Linked DNA regions of Oryzias latipes. The protein of the gene in region 2 purifies or fractionates together with the protein of the main gene of each other region. This does not show direct contact. Links are inferred from orthologs where the notes say so. Each region holds a gene or a part of one and is shown on either strand. Other genes may lie near its edges.

Evidence for each region. The genes of interacting proteins can lie anywhere in the genome.
Region 1: the proteins of H(+)/Cl(-) exchange transporter 4 (region 2) and tmem9b purify together in Homo sapiens (co-immunoprecipitation; 3 studies listed by BioGRID and IntAct, with this or other methods). This does not show direct contact. The link is inferred for Oryzias latipes from reciprocal best matches to the Homo sapiens genes CLCN4 and TMEM9B.
Region 3: the proteins of H(+)/Cl(-) exchange transporter 4 (region 2) and tmem9 purify together in Homo sapiens (co-immunoprecipitation; 3 studies listed by BioGRID and IntAct, with this or other methods). This does not show direct contact. The link is inferred for Oryzias latipes from reciprocal best matches to the Homo sapiens genes CLCN4 and TMEM9.

The regions. Positions count from the first base shown.
Region 1 is NC_019861.2:19,775,387-19,779,440, forward strand, and holds the start of tmem9b (transmembrane protein 9B), read right to left. Parts: upstream 2,806-4,054; 5' UTR 2,655-2,805; coding exon 2,580-2,654; intron 1,555-2,579; coding exon 1,463-1,554; intron 1,384-1,462; coding exon 1,275-1,383; intron 773-1,274; coding exon 638-772; intron 1-637. UniProt on the Homo sapiens protein: Enhances production of pro-inflammatory cytokines induced by TNF, IL1B, and TLR ligands. Has a role in TNF activation of both the NF-kappaB and MAPK pathways.
Region 2 is NC_019860.2:10,457,591-10,461,837, reverse strand, and holds the start of H(+)/Cl(-) exchange transporter 4, read right to left. Parts: upstream 2,804-4,247; 5' UTR 2,623-2,803; coding exon 2,607-2,622; intron 2,349-2,606; coding exon 2,191-2,348; intron 2,118-2,190; coding exon 2,018-2,117; intron 1,928-2,017; coding exon 1,740-1,927; intron 1,651-1,739; coding exon 1,528-1,650; intron 1,156-1,527; coding exon 949-1,155; intron 888-948; coding exon 807-887; intron 735-806; coding exon 189-734; intron 120-188; coding exon 1-119. UniProt on the Homo sapiens protein: Strongly outwardly rectifying, electrogenic H(+)/Cl(-)exchanger which mediates the exchange of chloride ions against protons.
Region 3 is NC_019865.2:11,958,138-11,962,423, forward strand, and holds the start of tmem9 (transmembrane protein 9), read right to left. Parts: upstream 2,806-4,286; 5' UTR 2,670-2,805; intron 2,488-2,669; 5' UTR 2,453-2,487; coding exon 2,363-2,452; intron 1,985-2,362; coding exon 1,893-1,984; intron 1,690-1,892; coding exon 1,581-1,689; intron 1,053-1,580; coding exon 921-1,052; intron 842-920; coding exon 701-841; 3' UTR 1-700. UniProt on the Homo sapiens protein: Transmembrane protein that binds to and facilitates the assembly of lysosomal proton-transporting V-type ATPase (v-ATPase), resulting in enhanced lysosomal acidification and trafficking.

The DNA of each region.
Region 1 (4,054 bases), on a different chromosome or scaffold from region 2:
TCCATCCCTGAGGCAAAAAATTGAGTCCCGTCGATGTAAAACTTTTCCATTTTAAACCAAAGATAATGTGATGTGATTCACAGCAGCACAGTAGTAAGAGGTTCTGGATGTGAGTCCAGGAAATGCTCCAAGCTTGGCCAGATTGCTGGAGGCAGTCCTTAAGTGAACGCAACACAGTATCTAAATGTATAGATGACACACTTTCCAGTTTCACCACAATTCTACAGAACTACTGCCGCAATCTGAGCCAATGTTGCTAGAATATCGCATTTAATTTTTTGTAAAATCTGCATGAAAATAACATATTTTGGTAAATTACAGTGCATGCAAAGGAGTCCAAACTTGTTAGAGGGCAACCTAATTACATTTCTTTGCATGATTGCACAGATTTCTATTTCTCAGAGCCTCCCAAGGAGTGGGAAAGTACGGCACTGATTTACAAGAGCTTGTTAAATTTTACTCGTACTGCATGAAAAACTTCCACGTGATGGTTGGTGCAAAGGGAGAACATTTACTGATCAAGTCTTGTGACTATGACCATTCAAAGTATCAAACCTGCTAAAATTCACAGAAAAAAAAAATTAAACAACTATACATATTGCCCTTGAGACTCCTGAATGTTGCTAGGAACACTTACCCCAGCATCATCGTCACTTTGGATAAGCTGCGAGTGTCCAAACAGCCGCCTCTTCAACATGGGCTCCAGCAGAGTCAGGTACACCATGTAGAGCAGTAGCAGGCCCAAAATGGACAGGTACATGATGATGGTAAACTAAATACATGAGAAGGGAGAACAAAAAACATACTCAGAAATCATAGCATGCCTCACATTTAACGTTGAGCAAGTATTTTCCATAACCTTGAATTTGATCAAATTAAACTTCTTTATATATTTATATTTAACTATAAATATAAATACTTTTCATACAAAAGTAGTGCAAAGTCAGAAACTGTCACATATAAAAAATAAAATACCCCTGTTGTTTATATGCAAGATAAAAAGGGAGAATACCAGCTTTTAAAAAATCTACAAATTAGTATTTTAAAAAAAAGGAAATGTTTGCAATGTAAAGAATAATCAAAAACTTTATACATCCTTAATCTGAACCCTCTGTGTCCTAAATTGGGTCACAGGGGTTGCTGGAGTCCATCCCAGCAAACATGGGGTTAAAGGCAGAAAAGATCTACATTTTTAGGGTACATACAGAGACAAACCAGCACACACACAGTCTGAGAGACACTTTATAAAAAATAAATCAATAATCTGACTTCACCTTTATAGTCCCTGAGCTCCTCTCTTCATATTTACATTCACAGCGCAGACAGTAGGCCTCCACATCTTTGCCGTCCACTGGCATCGGTTCCACCACATGGAGGCAGTTACTTAAGAGACAAAATCATCCATATGATAAAGATTCAGCAAGGGGGGGGGGGGAACATACAATGGCATTTGGTTACATACCAGTCTTTGAGAGACACATTTTGTTTGTAGATATGTCCCTCATAGCCTCTGTAAGGTGGACAGATACACTTACAGCGAACGTCTTCGGAATTCTGTAAAAGTTACGTCAAGCAGGTGTTTAAGTTTTAAATGCAGCAGTCGATTGAACTCAGACATTTGTTTTGACATGTTTGTGTGATGTTATCACAGCAGCTTTAAGAATATCAAAAAATTAAGTTTATAACTTGTAGTTTACCAAAAAATAGATTTGCAAAGCAATAACAGGATAAAATAATACAACTGAAGTAATTACTATTTATTGAAATAGTTCAAAATCTTGCTAAAATAAAAATCTTGGATCTTAAAGATTTTTAATGTAAAAATGAGTGTTTTCCTAAGACTGCATGGTGGCTTTAGATCTTCTTAGCTAAAACCAACGATGTTCTGGAATAATTACATACACAGTATGAGTTTCTATGATGAAACAACATGCTGCCAAAAGAAATCAAAAGACTTGAGACTAAAAACACAGGAATCCAGCTTCCAGGTACATAACACCAAAGTAGCAACAAAAAAAGTTTCCAAAATAATAGTTCTGATGGATGTTGGCAGCATTTCTGTTTCGCTTTGGTGTACCTGTTTATGTTTTTATTATTATTCTTCTGACATATAAATGTAGTTTTGAAATAGCAAAGATTCCCTTTAATGTCTGCTTTTATGAAAGAAAAAGGGGGGACAGTTGTTTTCTGGCGTTTGCTGTGTTTAATAAAGGTAGATTTTCTGTAACTCGGTAGAGAAGGAAAAAAATGTTCAACTGATCAGAAATAGCACATTTATTAACATTTTAGTAAGGAAGTCTTAACAGAAATTAATCATGACAACATTTTTATCTCTATCTATCTATCTATCTATCTATCTATCTATCTATCTATCTATCTATCTATCTATCTATCTATCTATCTATCTATCTATCTATCCATCTATCTATCTATCTATCTATCTGACCAAGCACGCGAGCAACAAAAAGGGGAAGGTGTCTGTCGCTGACAGAATTTTAAGACGTGTAATTCCTGTTTAGTAAGCTACTCGCCCATGTTTTGTGTGCTGTCAGCTAGCATTAGCCTAGCATTAGCCTTACCTTTGCTGCTGCTGCTTGGCTCAGCAGCACCAAACACGCCAAACACGCAGCCTCGGCAGCTAACACCAGCTTCATCGTCGCAGTAACTCAAACCCTGCTGGACTCTTTTTGCGGGACAAAGGAGAAAAGACGAATGCACCCTAAGAAACGACGCCGTCCGCCGTAGAGCCAAGTAGAGGATAAGCAGATTCTACATCAGCTGACTTGTCATTTCCGGAAATAGAGGCTCACTTCCGCAAACATTAAGACGCGGACATTTGAAATATTACATTTTTTTTTATTTCAAGAACTATTGAGGTTTACAATTTGTCTTTTGAATTTGAAACATGACATATTTAGGGGATTTTAAAAATATTTTTACTTTGTACTTATTAGTTTCTATGTTTTTATATAAATCATGTTTGTTAAACTGCCATGATCATGTACGAAAAATACAACAGAATGAGATGGAGATCTAAAATGACTGACGACAGCCGTCTAAACCCGTCTTCCACTTAAAGGGTTTATTTATTTTGGTGAAAATTTTACAAAGTACTGCTTATTTTTAAAGAAGTAACTTTAAAAAGTATCTTGCACACAACACAGATTTACTACATATTTATTTTTAAAAAAAGTCATCACATTTGAAGCAAAGTTTTTAATAATTGTCTAAAATAAAAAAAAGCTTAACCTTAACTGATTTTGTTTTTTATGTTTAATTTGTTACTTGGTCTATTTTTTGTGCTGCATAAGCTTTCCTATATTTGTATTTTCTTTAAAAAATGCACCTTGTTTTGGCTAAATAATGTGTTGCAAGTTAAATCAAGTAATGATTTATTTGGTGTTTTTCTTAAGCAGACAAATATAGACAAACAGTTGCATACTAAACTCTAATGTCAAATGAAATTTGTGCACACTAAACAATAAGGTTCTTTTCTGGTAATTAAGGAAATGATGAATATGAGTCCTATCTTTATTTACAATTTTATTAGATGTACAAAACCATAAAATATACATACACATCGCATCTAAGATGGGTCAGTAGCTCAGCAGCATTTTACAGGACTTTTCATAGAAACAGACATGACATGCTTTAGTATCTCAGGGTGTCTACAGAAGCATCTTTGACTGACGTGAAAGCAGATAATAGCTGGAAAAGCTTAGGGGTTTATAGAACCATTACGTTTATCCAGACACCTTGGAAAACCAAACACATGGGTCATCAACATCTGTAGCTAAAACTCTCAACACTTTTTTTACATCATATACAATACAGTCATCAAAATAAATGCTTTTGTGGCGAGACTACCTCTTTTCAGTGCTAGTGTTCCCAAGAAAACAGTTGTGCTGTATTAGTTTCTTACATTTTGCAGTACTTCTGTCATAAATGCATCAAATCCAGTAAAATAAGGCTGTTAAAACTAGATATACAATCTATGTACAGTACCATTGACATTCAATATATGTCTGTTCGCCCACCAAGTTTGTCTCTCCTT
Region 2 (4,247 bases):
CAGTTCTTGAAGATGATCCAGTCGTGGTGGTGGTACGCCATCTGCTCCACGGCAATCCCCACGATCCGCCCAGCGATGGCTCCAACGGCCATGCTGGGGATGAAGAGACCCGACGGGATCTGAAAGCAGACAGAAGAACGTTAGACTCCAGCGATCACCACAACCCAGACCCGGTTCCTCTCACCGACCTTCATGCCGAAGGTGAAGATGGTGATGACGATCTTGAAGATGAGGGCGAGGGCGAGCTGCCACAGGGCGTTGTAGACGCCGGGTCCGGCGGGCCGGTCGGGGATGTCGTCCACCGGCCGGCTCATGTTGGGGTTGTTGATGTAATCGCAGAGCTGCGAGGATTCCAGCGCCCCGCAGTCGTTGAAGAGCTCCGAGATCAGCTCGCTGGTGCTGCGGCGTGTGTACGGGTTGGGATACGCCAACACGGCGGTGATCCCCGTCACGGCGATCACCTCCAGCACGGGATACTTCCCCAGCTGGGTGGTCTTTCGCCGGCGGCACCAAGCAATGTTGGCGCGGATGAAGAGGGTTCCCCAGAGGCCGCCAAAGACGCCCAGAAGGATGAAGGGCACCAACTCCGCCATGTACCAGGGAGTGTGGTATTCCACGTAGAACAGAACCAGCCGGCTGTTTCCGAACGGGTTGATGGAGCGCAGAGTGAAGGCGGCGACCAGAGCGGCAAAGAAGGAACGCCACAGCGTCTTGAGAGGGAAATAATAGCTAACCTGCAGGAGAGGAGTTTGATTAAAAATCGCTCAAGTGGCAAAAATTGCAATAAATCACAACTTCTAAGATACCTCCTCCAAGCTGAACAGAACTCCTCCGATGGGCGCTCCAAAAGCCACCGAAACTCCAGCGGCGGCCGCCGCCGACAACACCTGCAGGAGAGAGACGGGGTCAAGTGGAGTTCAGCCAGGACGAGCGGCGCCATCGGCATACCTCTCTGCGTTTGCCCTCGTTCTTGCTGTACTTGGAGAAGAGGCTGCAGAAGAGGTTTCCACAGCAACAGGCCACGTGGACCAGAGGGCCCTCCTTCCCCAGGCTGAGACCCGACGATACCGCCAGAACCAGGGTGACGGTTTTGATCAGCAGGGTCCACTTTCCAAGGTAGCCCCGAATAATGAAGCCACTCAGAATCGTTTTAATCTTAAAGAAAGAAAAAGACCTAATTGTTCGTCCACACACATCCTTTGATTTATACCCTGGTTCCAAACATTAACTGTTAAGAGAACTGGAATGAGTGGCCCCTCCCCCCTCGTGTTCCAAATAGAAGGCCCCAGACCGTCAGTGGTGGGCTGTGGCCTTCTAACAAGTTCAAACATGATCAGCAAAAATGGTTGCCATGGAAACCATGTCCTACATGGATGCGGACTAATCACTACTTACTGACGATTACATGGCGGCATCCGTATCACCGAAAAAAAATGGTGACTGAATTTGTTTGGAGCTGGAAGTGAGCCCTTTTCTACGGGTGACGTCAAGCTCGGTCCAGTTCGCAGATACAGTAACCGTGCGTACCTCTGGGATCCCCGAACCGCAGGCGTACGGGGCAAAAACCCGAACCAGCGACACAGCCAGGAAGGAGAACAGCAGAGCCCACAGGATGTACAGGAAGTAGTTCAACAGGTACGCTCCGGCTCCCTGAAACGCCACAGAAAATAGCTTAACCGATCAGATGTTGACCCTCAGTACCCTACAAGTCTCTTCTTTTCCGGATGACAAGCTCTGACCTCAGAATGGCCTGTCATGAGCTCCGCCCACTTCTGCCACTGCGGACACTTGTCGCGGTCGTCGAAGGTGGTCTCGTTGGAGGTCCAGCAGCACTGCTCGTGGCTGTACCAGAAAGCAGAGAGGCAGACGCCCTCCTTCAGGTCTGTCATCCAGTCCACTGCCAGGTCAATAACGCCGGCCAGCGTTCCTACGGAGATCAGGAATACGCCGCCATCTTTGGTACATGCGTAAAACCTCACAGATGATACCGATTCAATCTGACCTTAATCGAACTGACCTGAGAGAAGACCGATGAGCAGCATCACCACCCATCCTGACCAGGCATCCAGCAGGCCCTTTATCAACTCCCAGAGGGACTCCTTGCTCTTACTGGTGATCTGGAGGAGAAAATATGGTGATGAGGAGCCAGAACACACCAAGATCACAAACCCTAACCAGCAGATGCCGGACCTTCCGGTGCCGGTCCGTGTCTCTGGACTTCTCCCGCAACCAGTCAATGGTGTGGAAGTCCTCGTACGTGCTGACGTCAGGGAAAGGTTCATCCAAGAAGTCCATTAAGGTTGAAGCTCCGTTGATCTCCTCTGCGGGAGTGGTAGTGGCGCTGCCGCCTGGCGGACGACAATGGCATTGCACTCAGGTGGAAAATTCCCAATTTAATATTTGAGAATGAAACAAAAATCCTTAAAATGATTATGATGATGACACGCAGCGTGATTATTGTGAGACAAAAACCCTGTCCCTGATCTAAAAATGTCTAAATAAATTACAATCTAAGAACAGAGAGATCATCTAGCATCTTTATTTACGTTAGCTCCCGAAGCTAACGTTAGCATGTGAACACTGATAAACACTTTTTTTTTTTTTACCTTCACCAGCCTCCATGTTTTGGGTCCTTCCTCAGCACCGGAGATTGTAGAAGTTCCTGTTAAACTATGACTTCATGTACAGCAGTTAATATCGGACACAGGATTTAGACATTTAGAAAGAAACTGACCCAATGCAGCTGACAAAATGCAGCTCAGCCTGATGGTCTCGCGATACCACCGTAACTTCTCGTTTGTTGCGTTCAACTAGCAGAGATCGTCTATTGTTAAAACCTTTTACTTGGATGACGAAAAAACGGAGCACCAAGTGCGGATTTGTGAGAGCTAAGAGAAGCGTTCAGGAAGACACAACATATAATACTTTAAAGAAACCGATGTTCTGCAAGTTCAGCCTGGAATTTAACCAAAAACGGTAAATTCTTGATGTTTATTTTAAGATCTAATGGATCTTTGTTGTTGAGCATGTCATGGAATTGAATCAAACAGAAATGAAGATACTCCACGTAAATTAGTAAAAGGGCACATCTGGTCTTGTCATGTCAAATCTTTCTAAAGTTGCTTCATTTTAAGATGACACAAAACTTTCACTGGATTATTGTTGGTAATGATGTTCACTAACATCACAGCAAGTTTGAAGGAACATGACTGGAGAAAATTAGAGAAATTAAAGTTATAGGTCACCTAAGCATCCTGCCTTTATAGTTTGAACCATCCAAAATGCCACTATTTTCAAAGATGAAGCAAAACTTTCACTGGATTATTGTTGGTAATGATGTTCACTAACATCACGGCAAGTTTGAAGAAAAATGACTGGAGAAAATTGGAGAAATTAAAGTTATAGTTCTCTTGGTAATTATTTTCACTAATATCACACGTTTGGAGTTTAGGATCACTTTCCTTTCTAATTTTCTTTACATATTCTATCTTTATATTTTCTCTACCATTTATCTCTCGAATATATTTGTCTGAATTGCTTTGAGAAATGTAAGTTGGAAACAAACCACTTATCACTACTCGTCAAGCTTCATTCAAAAACTCTTGGTCATTCAACAAGGTGTGGCTTGACAGACAATTAGGACCTCATACATAAATAACCTCAGTTTTTCAGCTCCACTGCCCACTTTGGTATTGCCTAGACTAGTGTGAGCATATCAAAATTCCTGGATTGTTGGTTTGCAGGACCTTAGATTTTTTATTGAATTTATTTTGAGAAGAAAAGGGTAAGTGTTATTTTTATGAGGTTTCACTTATTTGCCTCCATCACTATTTACATTTGAGTTATGCCAAATATAATTAACTTGATAGACATTGTGAAATCTGAATCTGCCGTATTAAAATCTATGTTCCAAATATATGTAGAAAGAGGTTGTGCAATTTGCTGTACAGCTTAAAAGAATTAGAAGTTCTGATGTGTTTGTCTTTCTACAAAGAGACTTTGACCTACAAAGATTATTTGTGTGGTTTGAGGCTCTAGTTACAGTCAAAACCTTATGTATGTGCTTGTCGGTATTGACACACCAATTGCCAGTGTACCTTTTTTTTTTTTTTTTTTTTTTTTTTTTTTTGTGCTTGCAGGTTTTGTGCGTTTTCCACATTTGGAAGGGTTTGTATAACATCAATATTTCACCCTTTGGAGCAGTAGAACATAGTTGGCTATTTCTTTTATTGGTCACATTGTGCACA
Region 3 (4,286 bases), on a different chromosome or scaffold from region 2:
GCACAAAATGACAAAGTTCAGTTCTCTTTCTAAACTAAAATAAAAACATTCTCAAAGTGGAATTTTGGAATATATTATTTCATACAAGTGCAGAAACAAAATACTTAAATTAAAGAACAATCCAGTGATTTTGAAGCTTTTTAGTGCTGGTATTTCAGTCACATCTTTTTTGAGTCCATTCGACACATTTTCCCTCACAGAGAGAAGGGAAAAGACCCAGAATGAGGTTAAAAAAGATCAGAAAGGAACTCACGGTACTGCAAAAAGAAGATGCTCACGTTTTTACATAAACTATTTCATATTACTAAGCTTGGAAGAAGAAACGCCTGGCAACTGTCTAAGCAGGCAAGCTGAAATGAAACCAGTGTACCACTTGTGAGGTAAATTTCTAAATAGAGCAATAAGCAAACTGCCCAATATTTACTAGTTATTAAAAAGTTAACAGATGATCTTCAAACTCAAGCATTCATTTTTACTTTTAAAGTGCGCAAAAATGGTTTTAATTTTTCGACAAATGAGATTAGTTTATATTCCAGCCTAAAGCCCATTACATTCAAGTCTGTTAGAAGTTCATGCTAATATGTTTCTTGTTGTCAAAATACTGATCCAGAGGATGCTGTGCTGGTTTGTGATAGTGCCGCTGGTCTGAGCTCAAGGAGGTCATTTACTCTAAACCGGGTTTTAAGCTCAGGCTGACAGTTTAACTTAGCAATTTGTGGCGATCGAAAACGGTCTTTCGCTGCTCCTGGACCTGTTTCTTCCAGCGCTGCTGTGCTCCCTCAACCCGCTCCAGCACCGTGTTTCCTCTGGCCTGCCCGCTGTCTGCCTGCGGACGCATCTCCTGCAAACGCAGACGTATGTTAAAACCGGCGGCATTCATAATGTACACCAATACATGTGATGTTTCTTTGCATGATTACCTCACTGTCTTCCTCGTTGTGCAGAGGCTGAGTGTAGGGGTCATGTTTCCGGATGAGAGGATCAACAAGGAGCAGGAACAGCATGTAGAGCAGCAATGCACCCACAACCGACAGGTAAATGATGATGGTTACCTGGAACATTTAGCAAACGGGTCACATAAAGATGTCATTTTGCAGCACATCACAAAAACAGGACATAACAAGCATTTCAATTTTATTTTTAGTAGGGGGGTGTATCTTTCCCACAAATCAATAAATGACAGGTTTTGTGGCAATACAATACAAAACGCAACAAAACAAAGATAAAATGCTTCAAACAATAAAAACTGGTATTCTGGGTCTTTTGGTTAAAAGGTGTCATAATAGGTATAGTTTGAAGACCCCAGCAAATCCGTTCAGGGGTCGCCAGCGACTCAGCTTTCACTGTTTTGCACACGTAGTCTGACAAAGATTTTTACGCCGGATACCCTCCCTGACACCAGCCTGTGTTTTATCCGGGCTGGAAACCAACATAGGGGGACCCAGACTTGGGGCCCCTTGTGGCAACACAGTTAGGCGGTAGCGCGAAGGGTTTTGCCCAAGGAATTTTGAAGGACGTTTGCTTTGAGGGAGGATACTGTAGGAGACAAACCACCGAAATCAAATGAAAGCCTGTAGTACCTTGATGGTGTTGCTACTTCGCTCCTCATACTTGCACTCACACAGCAGACAGTAAGCTTCTACATCATATCCAGGAACTGGCATCGGCTCAACAACATGGAGGCAGGTACTGCAATGAAAGCAAAGGTTTTCGTTAATATTTATACCTGCAAGGTAAGATTAAAGTGTGTAGGGCAACCTCATGAAAATGCAGACAAAAAGTCAGCATTTGTGTCAATTAAGTAATAAAAAGTAACTAAACCAATTCCCAAACTGTTTCTAAATTGATATTATTTAAATAATAGTAAATACATTTTAACAAAGTGATCTTACCAATCTTTCTGGGTAACATTCCTGTTATAAATGTTCCCACTGATGTTTCTGTATGGTGGACAGATGCACTTGCAGCGAACATCTTCAAAGTTCTGCAACATCAAGGATAATAAGAAGAGAGTTTTAAATCCTGGTTCTGGGCTGCATGTGAATCTTATTTCCCTGTTCCAGGCTGCACCTGATTCAGGTGATTAGTTCTTCATCCGGGTCTGATAAAGCAGTCAAAAAGATCGGACTTTGAAACAAGCCACGTGGGTTTATTTACAGTTGTTTACAATACAGCAGAAAGCATAATCAGAACTGAAGTGTCCCTGATTTCATTTATTAGACAAATTGATTTTAAAAAAAAGTATGGATTATCATGTAAATATTTATGATAAAAATATGTATTTTGCAAACACAAGAAGTAGTATCCAGGATGATTGTCATAGGATATGATAAGCTAAAACAACACATTTCCCTTGTTTCACCTTAGCGTCTGCAACAGCACCAGCATCCAGAAGAAACACAGTCACGACTGTAGCAGCTAAGAAGCTCAAAGGTCCGTATTTGTCAAACATCTCCCTGCTGGATCGGAAAGTTCTCCACTGACGCCCTGTCAAAACACCAAATGCTAGCAGTTAGCACAGCTAGCATCTAGCTACGGTGTAAACAACGACGGAAACGGCTGGGGGGGGGGGGGGGGTGACAACCATTTATTTTTGTCGCTTTTTTTTGGTAAGAAATCGTAAAATACAAAACAACTTTGGTCAATTTTAAAACAACTCGTTAACTCACGTGTTCACAGCTCGTCAGCAGCGTATTCGTGTTGTGCATTCAGGACGCAGCTCTAGCACGAATCGCAGAGCTTGAAAAAAAAGCTGTAATTGCTGAAATGAGCTGTTCTTCCTGGATCCGGACTATCGTCACGGAACTGTGGAACTGGACCGACAGCGCCATCTGCTGGACAGATACGGAAGGTCCCTTATTATTCAGAATTGCACATGAAATGTCGCCAATTCAGCTTCTCCTTTGTTTAACCCTTGTGCTAACTTAGATGACCCCACCCTTACATTGACGTGTTGTCCTACCATGACAAAGGAGGATAAAGGTGTAAAGATTTCATGTAATCCATGGACACCAGTGAAGATCACAAATCATTGAAGAAAAAAGGTTCAGAGCACTGTCTAGTGGGTCTAGATGACCCAACTCCCAATGTTAAAGTGCCTAAAACAGCCTTGCTTTAACCCTTGTGCTATACAAGGGTTAAAGCAAGGCCGTTTTAAACAACAAGCAAATTAATTATGTAACTAAAATTATATTTACCTTTTTTCAAAAATCAACTGAATAATAAAAACTAATTGCCATTTTTAACACTATTTTTTAGTTAAGATATGATGACAATGATTTTTAAAAGAATTGTGATATTTGAATGACTTAATGTCCCATTCCAATCATCTTTTGATCTTACGTAAAAGCATTCCCATTGGTCTTTTAGTTATGATTATGCCATTTTTAACCCAATAAAAACAACTGTCGCTTTCAAGGACATGGTTTCTGCAGAGCAGTAGTAGGTCATTAGAACTCTGCCTCTGAGTTGTGGACAGGATTGTTGGTGCCCTCATTTTCCATCATCCCTTTGTTTAGGTGCTCTCCAGCTTGCAGCCCTTCACAACCCCAACCTAACATTTGTGTTGCACAAAAAGTGGTGAGCAATATCGGAGCTATCCAGGCGCACAGTTTTGAGCTACATTTCAGCCTGGAGGAGAAAAACGAACACATACTGTATATGGATCTATTTGTCTCCAAGTGGATGCATCAGAATGGAGCAGCGCAGGCAGCTTCTGGCCTGCCGACTGTAGACTATGTCACTGCTACCTGCTTTTTCCTACGGCATTTTAACGTCTGCTCCTGATTGACATCAATTTGAATAAAGAAATATGCAGAAATACAATTACAGCTTGATTTTCCTTATATGACCTCCATCATGAGAAAAAATGATACAAGAACATGTTAAAACACCAGAAAGTATATTTTCATTGGAGTGGGTCTTTAACAAAAATCATGAGTAGTCTGGATGGTCCACTATCTGTATGCTAAAAGAGACATTTTTCATGTTGCAACATAAAGTAATCTGTTATTGTTACAGTATTTTATTATTTTCACAATTGACATGATTCCCATGTCCAATTTTCCCCCTTTATTTAAAACCTGAGCCTTAGTGTCTTGGTGCAATCGATATTCCCATTTCCAGGTAATCCTGCCTTCATGCCTCTGTGTGTAGTAAGATACTCTTACCGTTAATAAACCGTCTAAATCAATGAGTTGCAAGATCAACCTGAACCACTTGGGTCTGTTGCCATGCAGATCGATTAAAACTATGACCCCCCACACCCTCCGCAAGCAATGCTTTTA